4 linked regions of the Saccharomyces cerevisiae S288C genome follow. The protein of the gene in region 4 purifies or fractionates together with the protein of the main gene of each other region. This does not show direct contact. Each region holds a gene or a part of one and is shown on either strand. Other genes may lie near its edges. The genes, in order: TAF7, TAF13, TAF2 and SPT15.

The links.
Region 1: the proteins of SPT15 (region 4) and TAF7 purify together in Saccharomyces cerevisiae (affinity purification with mass spectrometry; 5 studies listed by BioGRID, with this or other methods). This does not show direct contact.
Region 2: the proteins of SPT15 (region 4) and TAF13 purify together in Saccharomyces cerevisiae (affinity purification with mass spectrometry; 6 studies listed by BioGRID, with this or other methods). This does not show direct contact.
Region 3: the proteins of SPT15 (region 4) and TAF2 purify together in Saccharomyces cerevisiae (affinity purification with western blotting; 7 studies listed by BioGRID, with this or other methods). This does not show direct contact.

The regions. Positions count from the first base shown.
Region 1 is NC_001145.3:722,071-726,343, forward strand, and holds TAF7 (TATA-binding protein-associated factor TAF7), read right to left. Parts: upstream 2,316-4,273; coding exon 543-2,315; downstream 1-542. Other genes in the region: ORA1 (oxidoreductase), read right to left, coding at 1-326; MTF1 (RNA polymerase specificity factor), read left to right, coding at 2,556-3,581; RRP5 (Rrp5p), read right to left, coding at 3,864-4,273.
Region 2 is NC_001145.3:75,346-78,270, forward strand, and holds TAF13 (Taf13p), read left to right. Parts: upstream 1-1,921; coding exon 1,922-2,425; downstream 2,426-2,925. Other genes in the region: ARG81 (Arg81p), read right to left, coding at 1-1,695. UniProt on the Saccharomyces cerevisiae protein: Functions as a component of the DNA-binding general transcription factor complex TFIID. Binding of TFIID to a promoter (with or without TATA element) is the initial step in pre-initiation complex (PIC) formation.
Region 3 is NC_001135.5:200,674-207,412, reverse strand, and holds TAF2 (transcription initiation factor TFIID subunit TAF2), read left to right. Parts: upstream 1-2,015; coding exon 2,016-6,239; downstream 6,240-6,739. Other genes in the region: PER1 (Per1p), read left to right, coding at 1-536; YCR043C (uncharacterized protein), read left to right, coding at 769-1,152; YCR041W (uncharacterized protein), read right to left, coding at 6,170-6,502; MATALPHA1 (transcriptional co-activator mating type protein alpha), read right to left, coding at 6,444-6,739. UniProt on the Saccharomyces cerevisiae protein: Functions as a component of the DNA-binding general transcription factor complex TFIID. Binding of TFIID to a promoter (with or without TATA element) is the initial step in pre-initiation complex (PIC) formation.
Region 4 is NC_001137.3:463,631-466,945, forward strand, and holds SPT15 (TATA-binding protein), read left to right. Parts: upstream 1-1,672; coding exon 1,673-2,395; downstream 2,396-3,315. Other genes in the region: cohesin-loading factor complex subunit SCC4, read right to left, coding at 1-1,212; PEA2 (Pea2p), read right to left, coding at 2,578-3,315. UniProt on the Saccharomyces cerevisiae protein: General transcription factor that functions at the core of the DNA-binding general transcription factor complex TFIID. Binding of TFIID to a promoter (with or without TATA element) is the initial step in preinitiation complex (PIC) formation.

The sequences.
Region 1 (4,273 bases), on a different chromosome or scaffold from region 4:
CTGCCAAGAGCCTTTCCGGCATTGTTCACCAGAATGTCAATATCCTTGAACTCTTGTGGCAAGTTTTCAATGAAGGGCTTGATTTTTTCTGCTTGAGTGATATCCAGCTGGGCCACATGAACTTTTGCGTTTGGAAACTCTTGATCAATGGTCTTCTTCAATTCCTCGAGCTTTTCTAATCTTCTAGCAGCCAAGATCAGTTTCATATCACCATTGGATGCCTCCAAGTACTCTAATGCGGTCGCCTTACCAATACCAGCAGATGCACCTGTAATGAGGACAGTCTTCTTAGCCAATCTTTCTGCAGCTTTTCTACCTTGGGACATTATCAAAATACGTTCTCAATGTTCTATTTCCCGCCTTTACTAGTGAGCTTGAACACTTTCTATGCGCCATGCTGTTTCATCTATCCTCCTTTCTTCAGCTTTTTATATCGCTCCGATAAGAAAAATCGGTGTCGTGCCTTAATATATATCAATGCTATACGTCATAGAGTAGAGTCGTATAGTGTATAAGAGTAATATATAGATGATAAAGAGAACTTACTCATCACCCTCTGCACCAAATAGCATCATCATATCGAGATCGTTCTGGTCGAGTGTTTCCTCTGCGGGGGCTTCATCAAGTTCGCGCACCACCTTGTTCTCTTGTATGTGTTCCCGTTCATGCACATTATCCTCGTCCTCATCGTTTTCTTCGTCATCCTCCTCGTCTTCGTCCACTTCATCCTCTTCCTCTTCTTCTTCCTCTTCCTCTTCTTCTTCCTCGACGTTATTTGCAGTTTCTGCGTCAGAGCGATGTTGATGTTGTTTCTGGACAGAATCTTCGGTTTGTTGTAACTGCTTACGTTTTAGTTCAGCCTCCTTCTCGAGCTTTTTAATGCTATCTATGAACCTGCTTTTCAAAAGAGGATTCGTGGCTTTACTTAATTTATGCTTGGTATGGGCCAGGGTGGTCTCTAGTTCGTTCAATTCGTCCGCAAGTAATTCAGTGTGCTGTCTGTTTTCGTCTTTTTCGTCATCAGATTCACTTTCCCCACCAGCAGCTTCAATGTCACCGTCGTCATCATCGTCATCATCTTCTCCGCCTGTGTCTTGATCCACCTCATCACCGACTTCCTCTTGTTGTTGCTCCTTGTCTCCCTCGGCACCGCTACCTTCCTCTTCACTTTCAAAAGCAGCGCCTAGGTCAAGATCCTCCTCTTCTTCTTCTTCCATTCCTTCTTCTCCCTCTTCTTCTGCACCTTGTTTTCCTACTGCCGAAGCAATTGTGTGTATCTCTTCTTTCTTTAAAGCAGGTCTAGATAAAGGCTCTCCAGGCTCCTCTTTGAAATTTTCCCAACTAGAAACACGCTCTTGCCTCGCTTGCAGTTCACTTTTATCAACCAGATCATAGCTGACCTCTTCTGCCTGTTTATCTTGCTTCAAAAGCATATCAACCACTTTTTCTACATAGTCTATTTCATTAGGGTCCATTTTCCGTCTAAATCGTCTATTTCGAACATTGTACAAAGGTGGTGATATTCCATGTTTGTAGTCATAGCCCTTCAAAGCTATTTCTTTCAAATGTTTAGCCTCCATATCACTTAAAGGCGCACCATTGTATCCTTTTAAGAAGGTTTCTTTATTCTCCCAAATTTCATCCTCTATGCCTTCAAAATGCTTAACAACCAGATCTTCTGTATCAGGGGCTTCTAGGGCATATACTTCTTCCTCTTCTTGTATAGGTCTTATGCATAGTAGCATTTGTGATACGTCAAATGTCTTCAGGAGGTTTTTTCTATCGACGCTCTTGTTCACTTCTATAACTGTAGGCAAATCTACTAGAATGGCACCATACATTACATCGTTTATTGTTACGACAGCGTGTCTCTCGTTTTTCCACTTGATACTTATCCCAGAATAATCACCTGATTCTAACGAATTTTTTACAAACTCTAACTGTATGTCTGGAAGTATCCTTAATATCACACCACTCTCTATGAGAGGGTCATCTTCAATATCAGAGGCTTCTGAGTCGTACGCTTCCCCAGGAATTCTAATAGGTTTGAGACGTAGCTTTGGCGCCTTGTGTATCTTCTTAACTGGTTCTTCATTTTTTTTCAAGTTTAACTTTAACTTCAATGAATTCTTCTTCTCTTTGCCGTCAGCACTCTCTTTCTTTTTCTTTAGGTTTATCTTTAATTTAGGCTTTGGTTTGATATCTTCATCAGTTACCTTTGTCTTTATGCGAATTCTCTTTAGTTTAGGCTCGCCTTCTAATGGTTGATCCTTCTCTCCTGGTCCTCTGGGTTTTTTAATTCTTATAACAGCCATATTTACGTCGATTATTGCGACTAATTTGAATGGTAACACTGTCTCTTGTTTATGTAGTTCTTCCTATTCTTCTCGCTTTTATTATTTTTGCTAGCAAGTTTTGTCTTGAAATTTTATTTACTGTTCTCATCGGCCGAATAACAGCGATATTATTGTATGATGATAATAGAGATGAAACTTTACAAATGCGGTTACTACGTCAGTCAATACCATTCTTTGAAGTAAGAAGGCTCAGCAACTATGTCTGTTCCAATCCCTGGTATTAAAGATATCTCCAAACTTAAGTTCTTTTATGGTTTCAAATATTTATGGAATCCAACAGTATACAATAAAATCTTTGATAAGCTGGATTTAACTAAAACGTATAAACATCCAGAAGAATTGAAAGTACTTGACCTCTACCCTGGTGTTGGTATACAATCAGCTATTTTTTATAATAAATATTGCCCCAGGCAATATTCTTTATTAGAAAAACGCTCAAGTCTCTACAAGTTTCTGAATGCAAAATTCGAAGGGTCTCCATTGCAAATTCTAAAAAGAGATCCATATGACTGGTCAACCTACTCGAATCTAATTGACGAAGAGCGAATATTTGTTCCTGAAGTTCAATCCTCAGATCATATTAATGATAAATTTCTAACCGTTGCTAATGTGACGGGGGAGGGTTCTGAAGGTCTTATAATGCAGTGGCTGTCCTGTATTGGAAACAAGAACTGGTTGTATAGGTTTGGTAAAGTAAAGATGTTATTATGGATGCCAAGCACAACAGCTAGAAAACTTCTAGCTAGGCCAGGCATGCATTCTAGATCCAAATGTTCAGTAGTAAGGGAGGCATTTACAGATACTAAACTCATTGCCATATCAGACGCAAATGAATTGAAGGGATTTGATAGTCAATGCATAGAAGAATGGGATCCCATTTTATTTAGTGCTGCGGAAATATGGCCTACAAAGGGAAAGCCAATTGCGTTAGTAGAAATGGACCCAATTGACTTCGATTTTGACGTAGATAATTGGGATTATGTCACGAGGCACTTAATGATTTTGAAAAGAACACCCTTGAATACTGTCATGGACTCGCTGGGACATGGTGGCCAACAATATTTTAATAGTAGAATCACTGACAAAGATCTGCTAAAAAAGTGTCCGATTGATTTGACAAATGACGAGTTTATATATCTAACGAAATTATTCATGGAGTGGCCTTTCAAACCAGATATTTTAATGGATTTTGTTGATATGTATCAAACAGAGCACTCTGGTTGAAAAAAGTGCTTTTAAAATTTACTTCATTATTTAATAAATATGTGATTTTAGCGTGTGAATATAAAAAATACATAGAACTCAATCTTCGTTAACACGGAACCATCTTGTAATCAAGAAGCGAGAAGCGGAACTAAAACTTTAAGAAAAGGAGCTCTACGAACCGTCAAAGCTAAATTGATCGATAGAAATTGCTTCTTGAAACTTTACATTCTATGTACTTTACAAATATACTTTACAAACTTAGCCATTTATATTACTTTACAGTTAAAAATCCATCAGGAATTATTCGTCTGCTTTTTGAGATTCATGGCTAGCGACATACTCAGTAGCTTTAGCTTTAACGTATTCAATGGTCTTTTCGTCACCTTCAGATTCCTCAAATTGTAACCATTTATTAAAGAAAAACTTAGCCTGCTTCCTTGTTATTTTTTTGGTTATTATTCTCTCAAATAAATCTTCCACCTTCTTCTTATCTTTTGCCTTCACTTCCTGGTCTACGTAAACGTTCCACAGGTCAATTCTCTTTGGCGCATCAGCAACCAAACCTTCGAATAATGACCGACCCCTTTCTGGGTCACCCTTTGCAAATTCTAATTGAGCAAACTTGCGGACAACCTCGATATGATTACGCTTTGGTAGGGCCTTCAAAGCATTACCTAAAATAGTACGTGCCTCTTGCTCTTCATTGTGGC
Region 2 (2,925 bases), on a different chromosome or scaffold from region 4:
GCTATCTTGAATTAACTTCAGAAACGAGAAAATCCTGTGTAAGGTTTTTGTCTTTTCAGAAATATTAGGTCTTAGTTTCATTCTTGACTCAACGAAGTCTTCACAAAGAGCCAAGTGATCCTGGCAATCTGCCATCGTCCCCCATACAACATCAATAGAGTTCATAGATAAGATCGCAGTTAGTACGTCTTTATATTTCTCAGGTATGCTTGATTTTGTGTTCAAACATAATCTTAGAAAGTTCGAGGCTTGATTTCTCAATTCGATACCTAGGCCCAGAAAGTATTTTTGTAGTTTGTAGTTCCTTGGGTACTTGCTTTGCAAGTGGAAGCAAGAGACAGCAAGAAGAGCATTCAACAACGCATTCCTCGAGTTGGAGGATTGTCCCAAACCCGCTAAATCGCCTAATGCCATCAAGGCTCTGGGGAAGTATAATGTTTTCCATGGGTTCTTTTCGAGCACGACCACTGTCATTTTATCTGCAACATTATTAAAATAATGATTTAAAAGAAATCTCGCTAAACCATGTACGGTAAGGTCTGTTTTGGGTATAATATCTACCAATTCAGGTGGTAGGTCACTGGAATAGGATGTGAGTTCTAACATGGACTTAGGCATGCGTGATTCTTCATTTGGAGGAGCTAGAGTTATTTTATTCAGATCAGATGCGGGCAGAGATCTTGGTTCAATATTGACGAACACATCGTCGATCAATGCTTGAGGGTCTGGTTCCTCACTGTTCGAAGAGTTTTTCTGGAAGAGTAACTTCAAGTTTTGCTGGTAAAGTTTATCATTGGCACTGGCTGCTTTATTAGGTAAAGTTGATGAACCTTGATTATCAGCCTCAAAGGCACATCCATGTTCTTTGGCATTCACATGCTCTTCCCCACTCACGACATTAGAGTTTTCCTCTAATGAGATTTCTTGTGGCTGTGTGTGTCCTAAGTGATGTCCCTGTAAGGTCACCGCTGACAATAATGCATCATCTCTGAGTTCACTCGAGATCCATTCGTAACCTGTTATATTCAGATTGTTCCAGTCATAATCTAAAAGATTTGGTGTTGGTGGAACACCATCATTAGCAGAGAGAATACCTGTCTTTACATGCCCTTTATTTCTCAACTTGTCTTCAATATGTCTAATTGGAAAGGAAATAGTTGAAGAAGATGGTAAAGAAGATAACGAAATAGAAGCTGAGCTCTCCAAGCTTTTGGCAACTCTTTTCCTATTGCGCTTCTTCCTTGGAGCGTACTGCTTGTCGATCTTATCTGTTCCTTTAAACACCCCAAATTTCTTTATGATCCACGTCTTGTTATCGCTTATTTTCTCAATTGGGGGAGTATGCAGCATTGTTAGCTCATCATCCATATCTTCATGATACACGTATTCTTCATCATAGCGCACAAAATCGATGTTCCGTCGTTGGTATTGTGGTTCATCGACACTACCTGATAAGTTCGTAGTAGTTGCAGGAGAATTTTGTGGGATTGGGACACCGTACGGGTCAAATTGCATAGGCTTAGACCACCGGAGTTTGATATCATAACCGCCACAAGGCAAATTAGACTTTTCACATCGTTGGCAGTGGGGATGCCGAAGATCACACTTAACTTTTCTTCCTCTGCACGTCCAACACCCAGTAAACGTCTTTGCCCTTCCCATTTTTTTAGGGCCATTCTTGCTGGAAATTCCCATTATATCTGCAACTTAAAATTTTCGAGGTACTGATATCGGTAACTATTGCCCACTAAAGCATCAAATCTAAAAGAGATGCTTTTCGCAAGGTGTATTTTTTTTTCATTTATTTTTGAGTTCTAGCGGAAACCGCAGGCGAAGAGTCATTGATAACAAAGAAGGTTCATCAACAACTGCAACATGAAATCCAAAAGGTAACGGCAGGCGAGGGTGAGCTGGATAAGATATGTCTAGGAAGCTGAAAAAAACGAATCTGTTTAACAAGGATGTAAGTTCCTTGCTTTACGCTTACGGCGATGTGCCGCAGCCACTACAAGCTACTGTGCAGTGTTTGGATGAATTGGTATCTGGATATTTGGTGGATGTTTGTACTAACGCATTCCATACAGCCCAGAATTCTCAGCGCAATAAGCTCCGATTGGAAGATTTCAAGTTTGCCCTCCGTAAAGACCCGATAAAGCTTGGGAGAGCAGAAGAACTGATAGCTACTAATAAGTTGATTACGGAAGCTAAGAAGCAGTTCAATGAGACAGACAATCAAAATTCATTAAAGAGGTACAGAGAAGAGGATGAAGAGGGTGACGAGATGGAAGAGGATGAGGATGAGCAGCAGGTGACGGATGATGATGAGGAAGCAGCGGGCCGTAATAGCGCTAAACAATCAACAGATTCGAAGGCAACAAAGATTAGGAAGCAGGGGCCTAAAAACCTCAAGAAAACAAAAAAATGATATAGCTACTTGGCAGGCCCGTTTACGTAGGCTTGATTCAGATATACGTAGTACATATGTCCCTTTGATTTATTAATTAGGCGTTTGCTCTATAAAAGGGGTTTTGAGTTTGCGTTGGTGCTGAACAAAAACACTTGTCATTACAATGGCACAATTTTGAATGCATTGTTTTCTTATTTATATATTTTTCCAAGTAAAATCTTAGGATTCAACTGGTACATTTATTCTTTTAGATTCAAAAACCCTGCTACATTAGTAACGGCAAACTCCTCCCTCTGATAGTTGTGTTGCAATACTCAGCTGTCAGCATTGGATAGTTAAGATGTATTGTTAAGTCACCGCCTGAAACAGCAACTTAAGCTCCCTTCTGTGCTTAGGAAGGTACGTGCGCCTCCTAACCCATCTATTATTTGATTCTAAGTCACAACGAGCCTGTACTAACGAGTTTTAGAAGCGATCGTTATCAGTAAAAAATGTCTCCTGCGGTAAGTTATTTTTAC
Region 3 (6,739 bases), on a different chromosome or scaffold from region 4:
ATTTGATCATAACGGAGAAGCTAGATTACTTTTTCGCAGGTTTAACTGTCCTAACAGGGTTTCATGCAATATTTGCAAGAATGACTTCCATGTTCCTGTACCCCAAGATAGCACAAGCGTTCACTGCGTCAGTTGCGGCAATCTTTGCCCTGCACATCTTGAGACTCTATGTTGACTGGTCGTACACATACAACATGAGATTCAACATTTTTTTCGGTGTTTTACAGTATATTTTATTGATAATGTTATCATGCCAAAACTACCATGCTCTGCAAAAGCAAAAGCTAATGGGCGAATTCAAGAAAACCGCGTACTCCAGCTTCAAGCGGCAAATCTTCAAACTGTGTGTCATTCCAATTCTTCTTGTGATTGTAACCACAATGGCCATGTCATTGGAACTGTTTGACTTTTTTAGTTACGAATGGCAGATTGATGCCCATGCGCTATGGCATCTGTGCACAATATGGCCCTCGTGGGTATTGTACGACTTTTTCCTCGAGGATTATGCCTATTGGGGTAATAGACAATTGTACTAAATATCTTAATTCACCTGTTTACTATCATGAATAATAGTTATATATGTATTTTTTTTTGTTTATTTTTGATTTTCTTTTACCGTTATCACATTCTGTTTATTTTTCACTTTTTTTTCGCTCTTTCTGTATGTATAGAACTAAATGCAAAAGAATATTTGTGCCAAGATAAGGCCAAGAAATTTTTGGGGCAACAGTAGGCAGTGAAAGCGCTCTTAACGTACTTTGGCAAAGGATGATCCCAGCTCCACTTGATGCTTCCTTATTGAGAGAACATGCATTCCAAGGAACTAATGATCTAAGCACAGTTTTGAGTCCAAGTACGTTTACCGATGAAGGTGGATATAAACCTGTATTGAAATACGGACTCGGTTATTTCAATTATGGACTGGTTATAGACGATGAAGTGTATGATTATTCAGTGTGTGATATCATAAGGGGTCACGTTTACGATCATTTTTGGTGTTATTTCTGTTGTTTCATGATTTTGTTTACTATCTGGTTAATAAGTTTAAATTGGTGTCCCAGCAGCAAGAAAAGCAAGTTTGATTGGAGCAAGAAGAAGGACGACTTTAAGATGGAAGGAGGTGATTTAGAGTACCAACATGTAAAGATCTAAATCTACATCGTTCTCAGGACGACTTATTACTGCTGGTTTCGAAGGAATAACAATGCATTTTTTTATCCCACCATTTTCCTCGTTTATTACAAAAAGCAATGAAATAATATGTATATGTCTACATAGAGATATTATTATAGTAATAATGCATTTTCTATTTGATTTTAATTTAATTTATTTTATTTTTTTTGGATGTTTAAAGTTGAAAATAATAAAATGATTAACTATTGACAGAGGGGTAAGTGGGGTTGTTACCTTTTTCCTTTTGGTTAAAGGAATAAATGTTTTCTTATAACATAAAAAAAGCTATAGTTATATAAACAAGGATTGCGAATTCTTAGAAACATATTCCATGGTTATTTTTTTTATTTTTTACTGCATTCAATTATTTGAAGAAACTGTCCATCAAACATAAGTTTCTTGATAATGTGCTGTTTGTAGTGAACTAGAATTGTTATAATAATATGCTGCAATTTTTATCAGATTGCTTCAAAATCTGAGTGATAATTGTATTTTTTTTATTTATTTAATCCAAGAGTTATTCTAAAATCGCACTAAAATTAGTAAAAAAATCAAAAAAAAAAAAGCTGCAGACATCTAAAATGGTTGTGAATCATTCTTGCGGATATCGTGCTACAAAATCAGTCTTATTTAATTCAATAAAATACATAGAACTTTCAATATAGTGAATATTTTTGGTATTACCTTAAGTAACCGGGTAACACTTAAATACTTTTGCCGAATGGGGCAATTGGTAAATTGCGTAAGATGAAAACTATAGTAAAATGGAACGGATGTAAAAGTATTTTTTGATGAAGTTTTGGACAGTGAAGAGGTGACAACAGGATAAATAGGTGGACTTCATGATGTCCTTTTCCAAAAACGCCACTCCTAGAGCCATTGTTAGTGAATCTAGCACTTTGCATGAGATGAAGTTTAGAAATTTTAGAGTTGCCCATGAAAAAATCTCGTTGGATATAGATCTAGCTACTCACTGCATTACCGGTAGCGCTACTATAATAATCATTCCGTTGATCCAAAACCTAGAATATGTAACTTTTGATTGCAAGGAAATGACTATTAAAGATGTTCTGGTCGAAAATCGTCGATGTGATCAATTTATTCATGACGACCCACTTCAAACAAATTTGAATGGATTGACTTCACAAAATGTATTATACAGCGACAATTCCATTGAACAGTCACATTTTTTGAGATCTAAGTTTGCTAGCTTGAATGAATACCCAGAAACGGACTCTAAATCCCAGTTAACTATAAAAATACCATCTTCCATCAAAATATCTTTGGAGGACGCCAATGCATTAAGTAATTACACTCCGATTACTCCTTCAATTAAGACTACCCCTGGGTTTCAAGAATCTGTTTTCACTCCAATTACATTACAAATTGAATATGAAATCAGAAACCCAAAGTCGGGTATTAAATTCGATACTGTGTATGCTGACAAGCCCTGGTTATGGAACGTTTACACTTCAAATGGTGAGATTTGCAGTTCTGCATCATATTGGGTCCCATGTGTCGATTTGCTTGATGAAAAATCTACATGGGAGTTAGAATTCAGCGTACCGAGATTGGTTAAAAATATAGGTACTTCGAAATTAATCGGACAAAATGGAGAAGAGAGTGAAAAAGAGAAGGAGGATACGCCTGAGCACGATGAAGAGGAAGAGGGGAAGCCGGCAAGAGTTATCAAAGACGAAGATAAGGATTCTAACTTGAAAAATGACGAAGAAGGCAAAAATAGTAAAAGCAAAGATGCACAAGATAATGATGAAGAAGAAGAGGAAGGCGAAAGTGACGAAGAGGAAGAGGAAGGGGAAGAGGAAAGGCGGAATATTGAGGAAAGCAACAATCCGAGTTTGAGGGATGTGATTGTGTGTTGTTCAGAATATTCAAATATTAAAGAACTTCCGCACCCGATTGATTTGACGAAAAAAAAATGCATATTTCAGATAATTAATCCTGTGGCTCCACATCACATTGGTTGGGCTATAGGCGCCTTTAATTCATGGTCTTTACCTTTGATATCACCTCCAAGTGTTGATGCCGAGGACGAAGTAGAGGAAGACAAGTTGAGAGAGAATGTTGTGGACAATGTTAACGATACTATGGATGACGACATTGGTTCGGATATTATACCCATTCAAATTTTCACACTTCCGACGCAGGAAACAGATGAGTTAACAGTTATAAATTCGACAGTTGTCTGCCAAAAAATTATAGATTTCTACTCGAAAGAATTTGGGTCTTATCCTTTCACTTGTTACTCTATGGTGTTTTTACCTACCGCACCTTCTAAGCATATGGATTTTGCAGCATTAGGCATTTGTAATACCAGATTATTGTACCCTCTAGAAGTTATTGATAAAGCATTCAGTACTACGAATGAGTTAGCATGGGCACTTGCTAACCAATGGTCTTGTGTGAATATAACTCCTTTAGATATGAACGACTACTGGTGCTGTCTTGGTATTGCTGGTTATATGGTGTTTCAGGTAACCAAAAAATTAATGGGTAATAACACGTATAAATATCAATTAAAGCGTAATAGTGAGGCGATTGTGGAACAAGACTTCGAGAAACCGCCTATTGGGAGCACTTTTACCGGCAGTTCTAGGCCAATATCTTGGTCTTCTAAAGATTTGTCCTTTATACAATTGAAGGCACCGATGATACTACACATACTTGACAGAAGGATGACTAAAACAGAACGATCTTTCGGTATGTCTCGAGTATTACCTAAAATTTTCCTTCAAGCTATGTCTGGTGATTTACCGAATAATTCGTTGACTTCATCGCATTTTCAACATGTTTGCGAAAGAGTTAATAAAAGTAAATTAGAGAATTTTTTCAACGAATGGGTATATGGGTCTGGGGTACCCATATTACGTGTCACCCAAAGATTTAATAGGAAGAGGATGGTTATAGAACTGGGTATAAGGCAAGTTCAAGATGAAGAACTTGGCCACGAAAAAGTGGTAGGGGAGGAAGGATTTTTCAAAAGTGCACTAGACCACTTAGAACATCCAGATTTGAACCGAACCGAATGCTTCACGGGCTCGATGACTATAAGGATCCATGAACACGATGGTACTCCGTATGAGCATATTGTGGAAATCAAAGATACATTCACAAAAATAGATATTCAGTACAATACAAAGTACAGAAGATTAAGGAAAAGAGGTGGTGGTGCAAATGATGAAAATGGTGTTGAAAACAATAATGAGGAGAAGCCTATTGTTGTGGATGTGAATTGTCTAGGAAATGTATACATGTCGCCCGAAGAGTGTTCCCGATTCAGTTTGACGGAATTTAATCGTACGTCTGAGAGTAATGAATTGCTTAAGCAAAACGAAGCATTTGAGTGGATACGCATAGACTCTGATCTGGAATGGATTTGCCAAATGCACATTAATCAGCCGGATTACATGTTTTCTTCTCAGTTGAGACAAGATGGGGACATAGAGGCCCAACTAGAAGCCATACGATATTATGAGGACGTCGTTGTTAATGGTGGTGTGAAATCACTTGTTTATTCAAGTATTTTGTTTAGAACGGCGATCGACGAGCGTTACTTTTTTGGCATAAGACTCGCGGCGTGCGAAGCGCTTAGTAAATACGTATATGATCCGGATTTTACTGGCGGTGTTAAGCATTTAATTCAGATTTTTCAGATTTTGTTTTGCCTAGAAGACTCTAATATTCCAAAGAGTAATAACTTTGAGAATCCTAAGTTGTATTTCTTACAGTGTAATATTCCCAAATATTTGGCTAAAGTGAAAAATGAAAATGGTAAATGTCCAAAATTGGTGAAGCAATTTTTACTGGATATTCTTGTTTATAATGAGAATGGTGAAAATAAATACAGTGATGATGCGTACGTCCGCAGCTTGATTGAAAATGTTGTTAAAGTTGCTTTAAATGAGTATAAAGATAAAGCATATATGGAAAAAGTTAAGACTCAGTTATTGAGGTACGAAAATTTGGTGAATTGGCTTTCATCATACGAGTCTTTGATTAAGACTACTATCATGTATGCTAAGTACAAATTGCATAAAGTGGGTGCTTATGACTTTACGGAATTGACAGGAATGATAATGCATACATTAACATTAGGTATAAATAACGGAGATATTTCCAGGGAAAGCTTTCAGAATGAGTTTTTAATGGTTTTGAAAATCATGCTTTTAGAAGGTGGTTTAAAAAACAAGGATGCCCTTGTTTTGTTTACTGAAATACTTTGCTTCCATGAGGATTCTTATATTAGGGATAAAAGTGTTGATGTGCTTTCTGAATGTGTAAATCTAGTTGTTATGGATGGTAGTTTGGATACCATAAGTGACGATATTAAGTCCTCCGTCCAATCTGTGCACAATGAAGTTAAAAATATAAAAAGTGAGGATGATATTGAGTTGTTTTTAAGTGGTCATTACGTCGATGATATGAAAATAAAAATAGAAAAGATTGGCCGTCAAAATATTAGTGGGTTAATACAAATATGCCGAGATATGTTTAAAGGGTATAGCCCTTTGAAGATATTACTCTGGGATGTTTTGAATTTACCTGTTCTTAGCTTGTACCAGAGGAAGCAAATACATGATCTTGTTAGGGTGATGTACACCCTAATCAACAGTTTTGTAGTTAGATTGGAAACACCAAGGGAGAGAAGACTTGTGGCGAAGATGAATAGTAATGAAGAAGGTAAACTTGATATTGTTATAAAGCGTGAAAGTATCCTAAAAGTACATATTAAAAAGGAAGTAACCTCTACTGTGGAGGCACCCAAGAAGGCGAATAAGATAAAGATAAGTTTGAAAGGTGATAAACCTGTTAGAAAAGTGGAAAAACAAATTGTGAAGCCGAAGGTAACTAGCAAACAAAGGAAAGTCAAAAGTCATGTGAACCGCATGGGCAGTTTACCTTTACGGTTTGTTAAGATCCAACAACAACCTAGAGTAATGGTGCATTTGTCATCCGTCCCGTATAGCCAATTCGTTCAAATTACAAAAGTCACATCAAGATCGTTTATGGTTAAGATAAGAACAAAGAATGATGCTAAGAATTGATTGTTTGCTTGAGTCTGAGTAATATCATATTTTATACAAATACATAGACATAAACAAAAGAGGCAAGTAGATAAGGGTATAGCCATATGAGTGTATAAACAAACATTGGGAACAAGAGCAAGACGATGGGGAGTTTCAAATAGGATAGCTATACTGACAACATTCAGTACTCGAAAGATAAACAACCTCCGCCACGACCACACTCTATAAGGCCAAATGTACAAACACATCTTCCCAATATCCGTCACCACGTACTTCAGCATAATTATTCGTCAACCACTCTACAAAACCAAAACCAGGGTTTATAAAATTATACTGTTGCGCGAAGTAGTCCCATATTCCGTGCTGCATTTTGTCCGCGTGCCATTCTTCAGCGAGCAGAGAAGACAAGACATTTTGTTTTACACCGGAGCCAAACTGTGAGTAATATGCTCTAAAAGCCATAAATGAGTTTAAATATTTCTTTGAAGATTTTATAGATGTCTTATTGAACTGTCGAA
Region 4 (3,315 bases):
CTTCATGGCTTGCAGCAGCCTCACGTAGCCTGGAGAGGGCCCTAACTTAGGTGACTCGGTCGTCACTACGGCCCCCTTCAAGAGTGTTTGTTCCCACACTTTGTAAAACTCACAGAATTCAAGAATGCTCTTGTATGTCTGGATTCGTGAGTCCAGCTCATTCATCGAAACACCGCCAGCGGCAATGTTCTTAATCAGTTTCTGCGTTGTAGAATAGACTTTGGGGAGGAACTTCCTGGAAAAATTGCCCTTTTCGTCATAACAGTTCACGATGTAGCTGACACTTTGCAATAATAACAGTATGTTCTTTAATTCTTTGTAGTGGAAAATCATAGGCAACTCTACTTTCAGCGCTATCCTTGGCATGATTTTGATCACACATCCCTTACCTTCATTAGTGACTAGAGATTGCTTGTTTGTGTCAAAGAAATTTTTGAATTCGTTCAAGTGGTCCGTAATATTCCCGTCTTTACAAAGCTGGATTACCATCTCTAATGCCAACTTCCATGCATATAGCTCAGGCCCCACCGTGTGCAGCTCCGTGCTTCGCAGCTCCTGCAGAGCATCCTCGGGGATTGGGAACCTCTCATTTAGCAAGTAATTCACATAACACAGATTTAGAAACCATTTCCATTGTGACTTTTCCCGACATTGCGAGAGTAGCCCATGAAAACTCGTCTTCACCCTGCGGTGCTGTTTCAGCTTAATGCAAAGCATCACGCCGACATACTGGAATACGGATGCCCAATTTTGATACAACTCATCCTGCAAATTTACCATGTACTGGACTAATTCATTGCAATTTCTTAGTGCAATCTTATAGTGGAACTTACTGTCTCTCATAAGTGGCAAGTCATGTAACAGCAGAAACTCGCAACGCATGATCTCTTCTACCAAATCTGTGTCGCTCTGGTGCGTTTGTAACCGTTCTTTCAAACTGGAAATGTAAAGCTCTGCTAGGTCAAAATTATACGTCTCCTGTATCAATAACTCCACCATCTCAAACGTGACCTTACTATCCTCCAGAACTGAAAGCGTACATTTCGTTTTCAATAGCTGAAACATCTGGATAGACATGTTCATGAGGCCATAATACTGCTTCAACCCTTCCTCAGAACCGATTTTATTCGCAATTGAATATGCATGGTCTCTGTATTCCTGTGCTAAGTGGTATACTTGTGAAATACTAAGTTTGTCGCCAAGATTTTCCATGAATTTGTACTTCTTTCGAAATCGTTCAATTTCTACCAATACTGATTCCCCTCTGATAGCTGAGATGTCGGGATTCCCTTTGCTGATAGATCTAACTCATCTCTTTACGTATTTTAATTGTGAAGCCGTAAATAGTTATCTTCCAAGTTTCTCTTACGCGAGCTTTTTGGGAAAAGAAAAAAATTTGAAGATCTACATATAAAACATGGCTTCAAAGGATTACTAATGACTTTTTTTACCTTGATAGGTATTCTTGATGGTAAGAGTAAACAAGGGACGTGAAAATTACAGTAGTTACTGTTTTTTTTGGACTATAAGATCGGGGGAAAGATAACACATAAGAAATAAAACGACTACTAGTTAGACTGCTCTGCGGAAGAAGCAAGGAAGTAAAGGCTGCATTTTATTTTTCTTTTCTAGTCCAACATAAACAGGTGTATCAAGAGAAACTTTTTTAATTATGGCCGATGAGGAACGTTTAAAGGAGTTTAAAGAGGCAAACAAGATAGTGTTTGATCCAAATACCAGACAAGTATGGGAAAACCAGAATCGAGATGGTACAAAACCAGCAACTACTTTCCAGAGTGAAGAGGACATAAAAAGAGCTGCCCCAGAATCTGAAAAAGACACCTCCGCCACATCAGGTATTGTTCCAACACTACAAAACATTGTGGCAACTGTGACTTTGGGGTGCAGGTTAGATCTGAAAACAGTTGCGCTACATGCCCGTAATGCAGAATATAACCCCAAGCGTTTTGCTGCTGTCATCATGCGTATTAGAGAGCCAAAAACTACAGCTTTAATTTTTGCCTCAGGGAAAATGGTTGTTACCGGTGCAAAAAGTGAGGATGACTCAAAGCTGGCCAGTAGAAAATATGCAAGAATTATCCAAAAAATCGGGTTTGCTGCTAAATTCACAGACTTCAAAATACAAAATATTGTCGGTTCGTGTGACGTTAAATTCCCTATACGTCTAGAAGGGTTAGCATTCAGTCATGGTACTTTCTCCTCCTATGAGCCAGAATTGTTTCCTGGTTTGATCTATAGAATGGTGAAGCCGAAAATTGTGTTGTTAATTTTTGTTTCAGGAAAGATTGTTCTTACTGGTGCAAAGCAAAGGGAAGAAATTTACCAAGCTTTTGAAGCTATATACCCTGTGCTAAGTGAATTTAGAAAAATGTGATGGGGAAGGAGTAGACGAAAAGAAAAAAAGGTTTTCTATTTGTTCCATTTTCTCAATTATTAATGGTCCTCAAAGAAATAAAAGAAAAGGAAGAAGAAGTAATTGTAATATCAAACGGTTTTTTATAGTATATTCTTCTTATTCTATATTTATATATCAATGTTTTATAATAAGATGTTTATTCATAGCATATCTGGTGGATCGTCTCTATTAAGCGCCAGCGAGGTGTTTGCCTCTGCATTTTTCAGCAAAGCAAGCTCCCTTTCCAGCTTGAATCTATGTTCACGCTCATCCGACAATTCTTTTTCATACTTTCTTTGTGTACTCGTAAGCACTTTTTTAAACTCACTTGTCATTATTGAAAGTGAACGTGATCCAGAACCGCTTGTGGGGCTTCCTACAGAGGAAGGTGAACTTGGATCCCAAGTCACCGGCGAACTCGCTGGTGATGACATGCCGAAATTATGTCTGCTTGAATTCAGCTTGTTGTTGGCTTTTTCAAGTTCTTTATTTTCCTGCTCCAATTCGTGTAATTTCTTTTCAGTTTTACTCAAATTCGAGTGGTTGTTTAATAACTTATCTTGTAATTCTCTGTTAGTCCGCGTTAGCTTCTCGATATCTTGTACATATTCGGCACGGTCATTCTCGAATTGCTTAGTCAAGAAATTGTGTGCCAGTTGCAAATCACTAAATGCCGTTTCTAGTTCTTCTAATTTTTTAGAGGAGTCTTCCTCTTGAATTGCAGCGGCGTTAGGCGAAATAGGTGGTGATGACGTATTTTTTTCTAGACTGACGCAGGTATCCAAGATAGAATTTATCCCATTTTTCAAGAACTTCACAGGGTCATCTAATGGTATTGGCTTGATATCAATGCCTTTCTGAATGGAGTTTGACATCAAGAAGGACGTTAATTCTTGAAG